2 linked regions of the Alligator mississippiensis genome follow. The protein of the gene in region 1 purifies or fractionates together with the protein of each later gene. This does not show direct contact. Links are inferred from orthologs where the notes say so. Each region holds a gene or a part of one and is shown on either strand. Other genes may lie near its edges.

What was found.
Region 2: the proteins of PLD1 (region 1) and ARF1 purify together in Homo sapiens (affinity purification with western blotting; 3 studies listed by BioGRID, with this or other methods). This does not show direct contact. The link is inferred for Alligator mississippiensis from reciprocal best matches to the Homo sapiens genes PLD1 and ARF1.

Annotation. Positions count from the first base shown.
Region 1 is NC_081830.1:75,709,656-75,716,746, reverse strand, and holds the start of PLD1 (phospholipase D1), read left to right. Parts: upstream 1-3,888; 5' UTR 3,889-4,067; intron 4,068-7,091. UniProt on the Homo sapiens protein: Function as phospholipase selective for phosphatidylcholine. Implicated as a critical step in numerous cellular pathways, including signal transduction, membrane trafficking, and the regulation of mitosis.
Region 2 is NC_081828.1:214,222,227-214,229,365, reverse strand, and holds the start of ARF1 (ADP-ribosylation factor 1), read left to right. Parts: upstream 1-3,944; 5' UTR 3,945-4,054; intron 4,055-7,139. UniProt on the Homo sapiens protein: Small GTPase involved in protein trafficking between different compartments. Modulates vesicle budding and uncoating within the Golgi complex. In its GTP-bound form, triggers the recruitment of coatomer proteins to the Golgi membrane.

The sequences.
Region 1 (7,091 bases):
ATTAAAAATAAACTAGGAGCGTCATTAATATACTAGGGGCCAAGGGCTGTATTATGCAGTTTAAGATTGAAGCAAAAAATAAATATAACTTCATTGGAATGAGTTAAAAACAAGCTTCAGGGCTGTGAAATAGGAGCTGCATTCCCAGGAACAGCTAACAGACCCCAGAATTGCAGAACGAAGGATCTCCTCAAGAGCATTAAAAAGAAGAGAGGGTCACTGACACCTGTGGGGTGCAGAGTTTAGAAGGGATCAGGTAGGTTATAATGAGCCATGAGATGTTCTGGTTGCTTGCCGCAGCTTTTATTTCTAAGGGCATCACTGCTCTGATCAGCCACATGAGACCAAGTCAGCGTTCTGGCCGAGTGGAGCAGTGATTCCCTTTTGAAGTAAAAGCCACAGCAAGCAAAGCTCTTCCTTAATTTGGTAACCCACTGCCACCCCTAAATGAAAAATCCAGGATCCACTGTATAATTTAGCTTCCCTCCCCCAACCGGCACCCTACCTCTACCTTATGATGGAGATGGGAGGTGGCATTCTGAATAGTCGTAATTCTCTTCTGTAGGGTTCTGCCACGTGTCTAGAGGTTTGTCCCTCTTCTTGATAGGAGTATCTATGCCTTTGAGCTCCTATCTGCATATGAGTCAAGAATCAGATTTGCTGAACCTCTTTAAATCACAGCGTTCAGTGGATATGGGCTACCTCAGTGTAAAACCACTTGGGCTGAAAAATGTGAATGGAAACAAGCCCAGTTAGGAGATCCAGTACGGGCTTTTAAACTTGATTCTAGACTATAATCCCCATACACATGGGCTAGACCAGTGGCTCTCAGCCTTTTCAGAGATTTTGCCCTCCTCCACTTCTTTAGATGTGGCCACACTTCCAGTAAGACTGCCTGCATGCCTGTGCACAGCCAGCCCAGGAAGGGCTGTGGCATGTGCCCATGTTCCCACTGCATTATGTTTCTCTGATAACCCTGACACAGACAGAGCTAGCTCAGGCTCTAGCCCAGTGGTCTCCAACCTTTTAAGTAGATCACCCATTGGCCATGTGTAGGGGGTGCATGTGGGTGCGCGTGCACCCCTGGAGCGTGGCAGTGTCCCCCCTGTAAAAAGGCACCACTGACATTGTCAGCGCCTGCGGGTGGTCCGCAATTGCTGCTGGCCGACACTGCCGGTGGTGTCTGCGGGTGGTCGTCGACTAATAGCGCTCGCTGTGCCCCCGCCCCCCTGCCCAGCTGCTGACAGTGCTACGGCTGCCTGCGGCAGCTCCCCACTTACCTTCACCACGTTCCTGCTGCTGGCAGTGTTGTCGCCGCCTGCGGGAGCTCACTGTGCCTCCCAGCCTCCGGGGCCACACGTCGTTCATGAGATAAATGTAAGGTACTCCACCTGGGAAGGAGGAACCCCCAGCACACCTATAGGGTGGGGAGTGTCCTTCTCAGCAGCTGGGAGGCAGAGAGGGATCTTGGAGTCATAATTGACTCCAAGATGAACATGAGCCGGCAGTGTAACAGGGCCATCGACAAGGCCAATCGCACCTTGTTGTGCATTAGCAGGTGCATGACTAATAGAACAAAGGAGGTGATGCTCCCCCTCTATGCGGCACTGGTCAGGCCGCAGTTGGAGTACTGTGTCCAGTTTTGGGTGCCGCACTTCGAGAGGGACACGGAGAATCTGGAGAGGGTCGAGAGGAGGGCCACTCGCATGATTAGTGGCCTTTGTGATAGACCCTACGGGGGGAGATCAAGAGAGCTGAATCTCTTCAGCCTTCACAAGAGACGGCTGAGGGGAGATCTTGTGGCCACCTATAAATTTATTAGGGGAGGTCAGCGGGGAATAGGGGAAGCGCTGTTTACTAAGGCACCCCAGGGAGTGACTAGGAGTAATGGGTGTAAACTAGTTGAGAGTGGATTTAGGTTAGGTATTAGGAAGAAATTTTTCACAGTAAGGGTGGCCAGGATCTGGAATGGGCTTCCAAGAGCAGTGGTGCTGTCACCTAGCTTGGAGGTCTTCAAGAGGAGGCTAGATAGTCACCTGGCTGGGGTCATCTGACCTCGGCCCTCTTTCCTGCCAGGGGCCGGGGGCTGGACACGATGATCCATTGTGGTCCCTTCTGACTCTACAATCTATGAATCTATGAATCACCTTTGACATTTAAAAGCAAGCCAAGATCTACTGTGCACCATTATCAACCCCTCCCCCCCCCCCCAACGCCCATAGCAGGTAAATCTGTGGGGAGGGAAGGGGGGTGCAGATCGAGGCAGAGGGAGAAAAAATGATTTGGTGGCACACCTCCCCAGCAGGTAAGTCCCACCCGGCCGGGGCCCCATTCAACTTACCCCTGCTTTTGCCTCTGTGGCACTGTCCGTCACTGGGGGCCACGATCTAGCCCCCGCCCCTTCACTCCCCCAGGGACTGACCTGCTGGTCTGGGGCACGCAGGCACTCAGCCCCCGACCCTAGCCTCGGATCGACTCCAAGAGGCTCCGACTTCTACTGGTGGATCGAGATCCACTGGTTGGTGACCACTGCTCTAGCCCTTCCTGGTCTGCCTCCCCCTTGCTCCTCCTGGAAATAGGCAGGGCTGAACTGTGGGAAGGAGCATGAGGGGGGCCGGACCAGGAGGGGCTACAGCCCAATCCAGCTTTGTCTGCTGTATCAGAGAGGCCTAATATTACTTGGCCGCCTAAATTGTAGCACCCCAAAGGGGGTCCTTGTGGCACCCTAGATATGAACCACTGAGCAAGTTAAAAAATGTTTAAAGCATGTTAGATAAGACTTGCTTTAAACCAGTTCAGCTAATGTAGTTTGAGTCCTGCTGAGCTTATGTTGGCAATTAAAACATTGCTTAAAGGCCAGGCCCTACTGTAATCTCATTTACTCTAGTGAAGTAAGTGGCGTTTTGCTAAATTTACATCGGTAGACCAGAAACAGAATTTGCCCTCTGGTTGGTAGTGATTAAGGTTGGCTTTTTATCTACTTTGTAATTCAGTTCAAGAAGTGTCTTGTCCTAAAACTCAGAACCCCTCTCTATGCTGAAATCTTGAGAGAGGCAGTCTTGAAGACTGAATTGTAGTATCCACTATCTTAGGTTTATTTTTACATGGAAAAAATTCAGACCCTTACCTTTTTGTCAGTGGAGCTGCAGTGCTGGATACTGCATTACTATAATTAGGCTTCAGGCATTTTTACCAAGATGTCAGTTCAGAACGGCCATAAGCATTAATACTTGCTGTCGCTTTCTCTCTCTGTCTCGCAAAAGAATTTGCTGCTCTCCGTATTAAAAAGGGCTTTGGTAATATGCATTAGAAATTTAAAAAAAGATAGCATTAGGAGACCCAAAGACCCTAAATTTGACCATAATTATTAGCTTGTCTTATGCTAAGAATAATATCAAATGTATTTAATTCACAGTTCAGTTGCAGCGACTTTCTCTCTATTCCTTCATCCAAATATAATTCTTTCTGGACTGTAGCAGAAGGAAAATTGTCTTCTTTTTAAAATATGTGTAGCTTTTATATGAGAAGAGTATAGAAGGAGGGAAAGGTCACTCTGTAAGGCCCAAATTCTGCTCCAGTACGTTCAGTAAATCAGTGTGAATACGTATATTTATACTGGTGTAAAGTTGGAATAACTAAGAGCAGAATGTGTCTCTAATGTTTGTTATACTGTAACAAGTCGGATACTGTACAAAATAAAGATGTAGCAGGAATCATTAGCTCAGTCCGTGCCTGTGAGGTTTTTTCCCGCCGCATCCTGCCCTTCCTCCCGCCCCCCTTTGTGTGTTTCTTAATATTCAGTTTAACATATGGGAGTGGTTTTCACTTCATTAGTGATTCTTATAGGCTGAAGTGCCTTGTGGGTTGGGTCTCACTTCATCTTGCCTTTAGGGAGCCAGCCTGAATACTTGAACTGAAGCACTTAGGAAGACACAGCTTTTGTCTGTGCAGATTTCCTCTGTGGTTATTTTTTTCATAGTAACACAGTCCTGGATAATCACTTCATAGGAGAGGAGATTTTTCATTTAAACGGCACCATGAGGCACCTACGTGCACAGGGGCATAAGGTTAGTAAAGAAAGACTGGAAGTTTTTCACTTCTTGCCATACGTCATTTTGTTTCGCTGTGTTTTTCAAGCTAACATGGAGCAGCTGATTAAAAAAAACTGTTTAAGATCATTGTGTTCTGTCTGTTTGGGGAGAGGCAGTTAATTTTAAGCCCTTTTCAGAAGAGAAAAAAAAAGGGAACTTAAGCATCTGGCATTGCTTTTCAAATGAATGTGTTGCTTGAACGTTGTATTTTTTGGCTGTTTGGAGGCTGGATGCCAAGTTCATTGCTCTTACAAAGGTACTACATTTACTTGTAAGCCTCACAGCCCATTCTCAAAATTACTTTGTAGTCTTTAGGTATCCAGGTTGTAGCCGTATTGGCCTAGAGGAAAAAGCAATCAGGGCTCATAGTAGAGACAATATCTTTTCTTAGACCACAAGATTTTTGCAAAAAAAAAAAAAAATTCTTTAATTGCAAGCTTTGGTCACATTTGTCTTGTTCCTGAAAGCTTACAATTAAAGATTTTTTATTTTTTTTTGCAAAAATCGTGTTGGTCTAATAAAAGATACCATCTCTACTACAGGCCCTGATTGTTTTCTAATCTTTAACACTTCAAATACCTTGCCGAGCACACCGAAAAGAAATGGCTACTTAGCATTTTGGATGTCTGAAAATTTGTAAACTCTTGGTAGTTTCTCACTAGTCTGTTGTGAATGTCAGTAGCTTCTGTCTGTTTTCTGTGCGCTGAAGGATGTGCGCGCTGCATGTTGGCTGGCATACTTTACAACCAGGAGCAGTGAAAGAGTCAGGGGAGCCTTCTTTCTTTTGACAACTGCCACCTCGGAGCATTCAGTCACTTGGGAATTCTCCGCGTGCCTTTGAAGAACCGGTTCTGCTGGAGGAAGCACAGAAGGATTGCTCAGAATGAGAGGTTTCTTTACCTGGTTGTACTGCTTTCCTTTTGCTCGCTGTGAGCTTAAAGCACTCTCTTCTCAAAATTGAAGTCTGAGCTTTGAAGGCATTGAATGCTAAATTATGAGGCATAAATACTGGTCAAATTCAGGCCTGATACAAGCGAATTCATTTCCACTGAGTTTAAGGGAGTTGCACCTTTTTCTCTGCAGGCTGATTTTTTTTTCCGGCTTACTGTATATGACAAGCATACATGTATTATGCATTAGCATCTACATAGTGTTTTAACTGTGCCTGTACAATCCCGCTGAAGCAATAAGGGTGAAATGCCTACAACGGTGGGGAGAGTTATGTCCTTTCTATGGCACTATAATCTGGTAAAACAGATAGCCCTGCCCCCTCCCTATTAAGCTAACCCAGATGTTAGTTTTGAGGAATACAAATAACAGTGGAGCCTATTAGCATAAACCAAATCCATTTGCCAGTGATATTTATTTTTAATGAGCTACTTGTATAAGAGGGAAAGCACTTATTCTCCAAGGTTTGGAAACTTGATGGGATGAGATTTTCACAGCTCCCTAAGGAAGTTAGGCATCCAACCTCCATGAAGTTTGTCTTCCCAGCAAAGCTAACCCTGGTAATTAGTGCAGAGGTCTGAACACCCAAGTTAGCCAAGGCCACCTGCAAGCATTCCCCCAGCCAAGTCCTTCCTGCACAGCTGAGTTTTCCTATTTCCGTACTGGTCTGTGTGTATCTGGGGACAAATCCCAGTGTTCGCTGCTCTAGGCATCCTTCCCCCTATCAGTTGCTTCACGTGTCTGTTCTTTGGGGTGCTTGTGGGAAAGGGTATAAAGGGTATTGGTGGACTGTTAGCACTTAAATGATTTTGTTTGTATTATTGTAGCAAAATAGATAGCTTCCAGCTCATGCTAAAGCAGAAACTTCTCTAACCCACACCTCTTCTTGGAAAGGCAAGCTCAGACTCAAAACAGTTTCCAGATTTGGATCACAGGTTTTCTAATGTGGACAGATAGGGGGTTAGAAGAAAAACCCTGTAAGAGGCTTAACTGTGTAGTGAGGACATACCCTAAGAGTCCAAGATAGATATACAATTCACCAGAAAAGACTTGATTCCAAACCTGCTGAATCTAGCAATAGCTAGACATTAATATAAACCTAAGGAAGAACAGCATTTTTTTTTAAATGGGGTAGGGCTCTTTAAGTTCTTCTCATGCCATTTAAAAATTAGGTGTTATTCCTTTAAGAATCTGATATCTGATTTAAACAAGATCCATATTTTAAAAGCCCGTGTTTCAGGACCATTGGAAATCTGTAATATGTCTCTGCTAATGTTGCTAGAAAAAATGTAGGTAAATTGAGTTTTACTGTGCCAGAAGCTCCAGAAATGAGCTTCTCCCATTTAAGTTACCACCTGTGCTGTAAGAAGTTGAGTTAAATCTGTTGCATCCTTAGAGATGGAGCCAGCAATTTGTTGTGATCACAATTCTGATCTTTTAGGATCTGCTAAGAATGTTTCTGTCTATAAAATACTGTTGTAGCAACTCTGCGTTACTCATTTCTCATGAAACGATTCATTCTTTCGTGTAGCAGAATAGATCATATGACAAAACTGTAAAATGTTGCTAGCTCTCAGTTAAAAAAAATCAAAGGAACATATACGTCACTGATTTTATGAAGGTTTTGATTCTTTGAGTGTGTTCACATTATGGAAAATAACCCAGTGTATCACAGTGGCTTTGCTTTCCCCAACCAGTGTTTTTATACATAATTTCACAGGCAAACTGTGCAACCAGGTACAGTTTTGTATCTTCCTTGTTGTAAGCTGAAGACACATTTTTTTTCTTCCTACAGATGTTGGTCTGATTGCTGGTTGGCGTGAATTTAGTTAGCAGTCTTGGTAGAAACTTGGAAGCATGAATTAGCAATGTGTTGGTATTGCCACAGATTTTTTTATCTTGGATTTTATTTAAAGCAGTTTTTAATACTCATGCAAGTTTCTTCAGTGCATCTTCCCTAAAAGAAGAGTTGAGTTGGATTCTAGAAGACACCTCTTTCCAAACGAATCCCCAAAACATTGCAACAGGCTTGACACGTTATGTTGTTAAAGT
Region 2 (7,139 bases), on another chromosome or scaffold:
TCCCATGCCTACAGGCCTACTGCCACATCCCGAGCCGATGCTGGGCAATCCTAGTATGCAGAGACTTGTTCCTAAAACACAGAACACATCAAACAACTGGCGTGTTTCTTTGATGACCATGTGAAACAGCAGTGACAAAGTTAAAATAATCCTTTACAAAAAATGTTTCCTCGGTTCAATGATTTCATAGATTTTATAGACATTTGAGCTGGAAGGGACCCCGGAGGATCATCGAGTCCAGCCCCCTGACCCATGGGCTGGAAGTCAGCAGGGATCATAGGATCCCAGCAAGATAAGCATCCAAATGTGTCTTGAAGGCGCTATGTTCTTAAAAGTAAGACTTCAATTCCCCCTATTTATGCAACTTACACACTATTTGCATTCGTTCACCACCAACAACAGTGAAATTTGACTTCTCGGTTTTGTTTTCTCTTTAATAACTATATGTCAGTTGTTGCCAAATCTCACCACAATCCCTGTTTCCTGAAAGCCCCAGTTCAGAAGTCGTGTGTGAATGCTTCAGATCTCTGCTTTCCTCTTAAAAAAAGAAGTTTCTAGGCCTCATGGTTGCAGAGAACAGCATGGAAATGTGACCCAGACGTATCTTAAAGGTACCAAACCTAGAAAGCAAATACAAATAAGCTCAAGGTTATTATTATTATTATTATTATTGTCATTTTAATTACTATTTTTAGACCGATTTCATGATCTCTTTAAACCTGACTCATGATGTAACATTTGGGACCAGCAGTACTGCTTTCCATGTATCTGACACCTGTCTGAGGTCCTGCAAGCACTTTCAGATCACTTTCATAGATCCATAGATGTTAGGGGCTGGAAGGGACCTCAAGGGAGGTCCAGCCCCCCTGCACTTGGCCAGGAAAGACCGCTGGGGTCAGATGGTGCACATCAAGTCATTTTTTAAAGATCTCCAGGATAGGTGATTGTACCACCTCTGGGGGGAAATAAGCAATCTCCAGATGAGGAAACTGAGGCACAGAAAAGTGAAGTAACTTTGCACCGAGTTCACTCACACAGGTGGTAGGATCAGAGCCCAAATGTCCTGATTGCTGGGCTGTTGCCTTTATTGAGGTGTTCATGTGTAACCTGAGCACTGGTAACAACTGTAGGGAAAGCCGATTAAGTCAGGCCTTCTTAAATTTGTACACAGTTGTTTCCTAGACAGCTTATCTTGGCGACATGCTCCCTTCTCTCCCTGATTACATGGGCATCCTCTGCTCCCATCCGCAGTCATGTAACATTGCTATAGCAACTATAGAAAATGTTTACTCAAAAAAGTTGTATTAGGCAAGTGTTTATGTCCCTTTCCCCTGCTTTCTCTGTTGTTTGGGACCTTGGTCCTCCTCTGTCCTGAGCATGCAGCTCAACCAACCCATCCTCTCCTCCTCCTGCTCTTCTGCACTTACTGCCTGGCTTCCTAACTCCACTTTCCCCTGATCCCCGTGTGACGACTGGGTTGTCTGGTCGCACTGGTTGTTCTGGTCCGTAAAGGTGCTGTCCTTGCCTTTCACCCTCTTCTGTCACTAAAGCGTCTATACTAACTCACTCTCGTTATTTCCATTGGGTTTGACAGCTCATTCTTTGCATCGGGAAGACTGAGAGCTTGTGTCACAAAAGGTGCGTCTGTGTCACCAGAAGGCGTGTGCATGTTTCCATTGGGTTGTGAGACGGACACAAATCGCAGTGTGTGCACTTTTCCCCAAAGCCTAAAACACATTCGTGGTACTATGGAGCGCGAGGCAGGTTCATGTATGTACATAGCACCACCGGATGGAGACTTTCACAAAGCATGTGTGTGTCACACCAAGCTGTGACTCATGTCTTTGTCACCCCAAGGCATGAAGTTCATCCACATCATCACAAGGCGTGCACCAGGCACCATGAGGCATGTTCAATCCATCACAGAGTCAGGGTGTCACCACGAGGTGAGCCATGTTTGTGTCACCAGAAGGCAGGCACACGTTGTAAGAAAGGGTGAAAGGGGTATGTTATAAGGCATACAACTGACTTCCCAAAGGTGTCAAACACATCTGTATCCGCACAAAGCGGGAGGCAAAGTCATGCCAGGAAGCACATACATGTCTCCAGAAAGGATGAGATGGCCATGCATAAGACTGGAAATAATTTCTTGGACCATCAAGTCCTGTCCCCAGTCCAGCCCCTCATACACGTCACAGCCACAAAGCACCTTAGGAAAACCAGGCCTGAATTACTGCAAAATGTGGGTGCCACCAATGTCCTGCCACTGGGAGACGTGATGACACTTTTAGCACACACCTATGCTTATGCATGTCATCCCAAGGCATAACGCGCATCTGTCTCACTGCAAGGTGCGAGGTGGGATCAGGTCACTGCAAGGCTTGCGTGTGCCGTCCCGGGTTGCAAGATGGGTTCGTGTTTCAAAGCACGTGTCACAAGCTGTGAATTAACGACATGTCACAATGTGTGTGTATTGCCAGCACAAGGCATTAGGCTGCCCATAAGATGTGTACCTGCCATCATCAGGAGAAAAGCATGTCACTGTGAGGTGTAAGGCAGGATCATACCCAAAGGCAGGCAGATGTCAGTATGAGGTGCAAGTTAGGTATACGTCATAAGCGTGTTCTCATGAAGTGTGACGTGGGTACATGCAACATGTAAGCAAAAGTTCAGTACGCATCACAGGATATATGCATGTCAGTACAAGGGGTACAAGTTGCAAGGTGTGTGTGTGTGTGTGTGTGTGCCTTTCACAAGATGAGTACATGACGAGGCATGTGCATGCTACCAGGGTGTTCCCTGTCACAAGAAATGCATGTGCTCCCAAGAAAGTGAGGGCGCACATATCAAAAGGCAGATGTGTATCACCAGGCCGTGAGAGACTGGTACATTATTGCAAAATGTGTGTGTCACCAGTGTAAGAATGGCATGTACAACAAGGCCTGTGTCTCGGGTACATGTCGCAAGGTGTGTGCGTGTCCCCGCGCAGTGCGAGACAGGTATACGTAGCAAAGCATGCATGTGTCATGGGTACATGTTACTGGGGAGGTGCGTGTCCCCACACGGTGTGAGAAAGATGCACTGGAGAAGGCGTGCGTATCATAAGTGTGTCGCACAGCAGGTGCGTGTCAGCATGCGGTGTGAAGCCGGTACACACAAGGCGTGTGCACGTCACCACACGTTATGAGGCAGGTACACGTGACAAGGTGTGTGCATGTCACCACAAGGTGAGGCAGGTACTCTGGTGTGTATCATAGGTACAGGTGGCAAGGTGTTTGCATGTCAACATGCGGTGTGAGATAGGTACACACAGCAAGGCACGGTGCACGTTATCACGTGGCGCAAGGCAGGTATACGTGATAAGACATGTACGTCACCACACAGCGTGAGGCAGGTGTACATGACAAGGCGTGTGCTCGTCACCATAAGACATGAAGCAGGTATGCACGACATGACATGTATGCATCATGTGGTGCGGGGCAGGTACGCATGACAAGGCGTGTACATGTCACCACACACCGTGAGGCAGGTACGCACAAGGCATGTACATGTCACCACGTGCGTACATCGCCACATGGCACGAGGCAGGTACACATGTGCTCATCACATGGCGTGAGGTGGGTACATGACACGTGTGCACATCACACAGTGTGACACAGGCACATGACACAACCTGTACATGCCACCACACGGTGTGAGACAGGCACACATGACACAGCGTGTACATGCCACCACACAGTGCGGGGCAGGCACACATGACAAGGCGTGTACATGCCACCACATGGCGCGAGGAGGGGGGGTCACATGACAAGGCGAGCTGACGTCACCACCCAGCGCGGGGCGCGTTCTGTAGCGGTGCAGCGCCAGGCCCCGCCCCTAACACCGCCCCGCGACCGTTGCCGAGGCGAGCACGCCCCCATTCCCGTCGTGCCCCGCGCGGGGCTGGCACTGACGTGGCCGCGGCGAGCCGCCATCTTGTGAGCCCGGGCGGAGAGCGGCCGAGACGCGCAGGACCGGCCCCGAGCCACCTCCGACCCGCCGCCGCCGCTGCCGGGTGAGCCGTGCCGTGCCGTGCCGTGTCCTTCCCCCCCGCCCTATCTTCCCCTCCTCCCCCTGCCCCGGAGCCCGCGGGCCGGCGCGGGGGCGGCCTGTGCGGGTGCAGGCCCGGGGTGGGGGAGGGGCGCTGCGGGGAATGGGCTGTGCCGCCCCCCCCCCCCACTCTCCCGGGGAAGGGGGAAACAGCGCTTCCTTCCCCCGCTTGGAGGGAGCCGTGGGGGGTGGGGCAGCGCCCTGCTGCCCCCCCACCCGCCCTTGCACCCGCTTGTGCAACTTCTTGTGCAACCCTCCCCTCCCCCCCCAAAGACATGGGTGACGGCCCAAAGGCACCCCGCTGCGCTCCCCTTGGTGGCTTCCCGTCATTATCCCCGTTTCACAGAGGGGAAGACTGAGGGGTAGTCAGGGAAGCAGCCACCCAAGGTCACTTTTAACAGTCTGCGGATCCTGAGGGTTTCCTGCCCTCCGCTTCCTATTTCCCCCGGCGGGGGGCACGCTCTCGACTGAGGGGTTTATTCGAGGGCTGTCCAGTGCCGCGCGTTTCTCCAGCCGGGGTGCTTCCCTCGCGGTTGCAGCGGTCGCGCCCGGCGGGACGAGCGCCGATAACGTACCTGGCTACCGCCCCAGGAGACGGCAACCTCGATTGTGCGTTGGCCGAGTTTCCTGCCTAGGGACAGCTCAAATGGATGTGGTTTTCCCCCCCTGGGACTCGGTGTGGTGAAATAGAAGAGGTGGGGGATAGGTTTGTGTTTAAAATCCGTCGCTTGGCTCGTTTCTGCTCCGTTTTTTGAGTCTCGACGCACGTCTTCAGTTCGCAGCGTCCGTGCCAGCGATGCCTGCTTAATGGATCGTGCCTCGTTTGCTTACGCCGGGCACGTTCGCTGCCTCTCCTCGCAAAATTAAAGGGCTTTCGGAGGGCTGCGGAAGTAGCCTGGCGAAGGCGTGCGCTGGGGAGACGGGATGGACGCGCAAGCTGAATCTTTACTGTGCCTTATATCTCCTGGTGCAAATTCCCTGCGGTAGGCAGTTGTGTTGAGGGTGCAAATGGGATGTTCAATACCCCTCCTGTGCTTTAATTGCATAGCGGAAGAAGGAAATAAATCAGCTGGTTGGTTGAAGTCAGGAAAGATTGTTTCCTTCTACATACCATCTCCTAACTTCTCAAACGTGTCCAGCGTGGACGCAAAGCATTATTGAGCTGTGACCTTTCCAGGGTAAAGAGAGACTTTATTCTTCTCTTAATGATGTATTTTATTAACTGTAGACCAATATCTACGTTATTTCCGGTAAATCTGATCACCGTATTGTAAGTCCATCAATGGAGAGAGAAAGTCTACTTTTCAAAATCTGTTGAAGGCCTTGTTATGGTTTAAAACCTGTAAAGGTATCAGTATCTGCAACCATCACGCTCTCCCTTAACTGATGAGCAAAGACGTTCAGGACCAGCTTCCTACTACAACAGCTGTGTTTTTGCATTATTCAGCAGTTTTTTTCTTGCCACGTGCAAGTATCTAATTTTATTTCTTGCTTCTAATACATAAAAATAGTGAGGGAATAAGGCATCACTTCTGCTGATTTCTCAAATCTAATATAGTTCTCATTCATGTGCCAATCTTTATCTGAACAGAAGCTGCTGGTGTTTTGGCTTTTGAATTTGGTGACATGTCAGCCACCACTTGCTTCCACTTATTTTCTGTTCACCTAATGTATTTATTACCATATTTGTTTGCGAATTGACACCAATGCGTTGTTTGAACTCATGTCATGAATGGTATGAGGAGCAAGTACTGCAGTTTTCAAGCATGCAAGTAGTTTGTTATTGCAAGCCAAGGCATGCGTTCTGCTTGAGTGGAAGCGAACCCGTTTTATTGTTGGGCCAACTGCAGTGTTTTTGACCTGGGCTGCACCTGTTGAATGGCAACTTAAACTACAATCAAAACGCCTGAGAGGGGCATTGACTGCCAGCCTTTAAATTGGTGATTCTCAGCCAGGGTGCTGTGGGGTACCATGCAATGTTAGCACTGTTAAGTGTGCAGACACAATTCACAGATTCATCCCAGAGACTTCAAGTAGTGTTACAAGCATTCTGGCCTGTTGTGGTCTTTCAGAGTTCTTTACAACAGAAGAATTACTATTTTTTTTCTGTAGTCAAAAAAATAAGTGAAAACTAAGAGCTGGCATTTTCTGAGGAGTGCCTTAGATTCCAAAAGGTTGAGAACCACTGTTCTAAATCAGTCTTCATCTTTTGGGCAATGGGGAGTGTCCAGCACACAGAGGAAACCCTGAATGTGTGGTTCTATGACATGTCCTTCCCCCAGTGCTGTTGGTTCTACGACATTACACCATGTGCGTGCGCGTGCACATCCCCCTAACTTTCCTGATCCTTTTTTTTCCCCCCTAAACTTATCAGTTGATAAAAAAAAAAAAAAAAAATCTAGGCTGCCAACAGTTCGAAGGTGAGTTAGTGAACTACCAAAGGCTGGTAGTTAAAAATCGTTTGGTAAAATTGTGTGTTTCAGGATTTTACTCTTAAAACAGAATTTTATCATTGCTTCTCTTGTCTTAAAATGAAGTTGGAAATAAGAACCTAGTTGGATGTAGGGTTTTCTAATAAAATTTGCAGAGGTTTTCTTGGTTTGTCATCATATGTGCTAGAGCAGTTTTGTGCCCCAAACCATAGGAATGATTTAACTCTTTGGCTTGCTAATCTGCCACAGCACAGATCCAGCCTGTGACATGGTGTTATCAAGCCTATGGGGCTCACAGATTCATAGACGTTTAGGGCTGGAAGGGACCTCATGACATCATTGGGTCCAGCCCCCTGCTCTGGGCAGGAAAGCCTGATGGGGTCAAATAGCCCCGCCAGGGCATATGTCCAGTCTCCTTTTGAAGATCTCCAGGGTAGGTGTCTGCACTACCACTGCTGGGAGTCTATTCTGGAGTCTGGTCACATGAACTGTGAAGAAGTTTTTCCTTGTATCCAGTCTGAAAGCTTCTTCTAGGCTCACCACAGTTCTGGAAATTAAGCAGCAGGGGAGCAGTGCCACTGCTCCATGGCTGCCAAATTTCCAGGCTCCCGGGGAGCC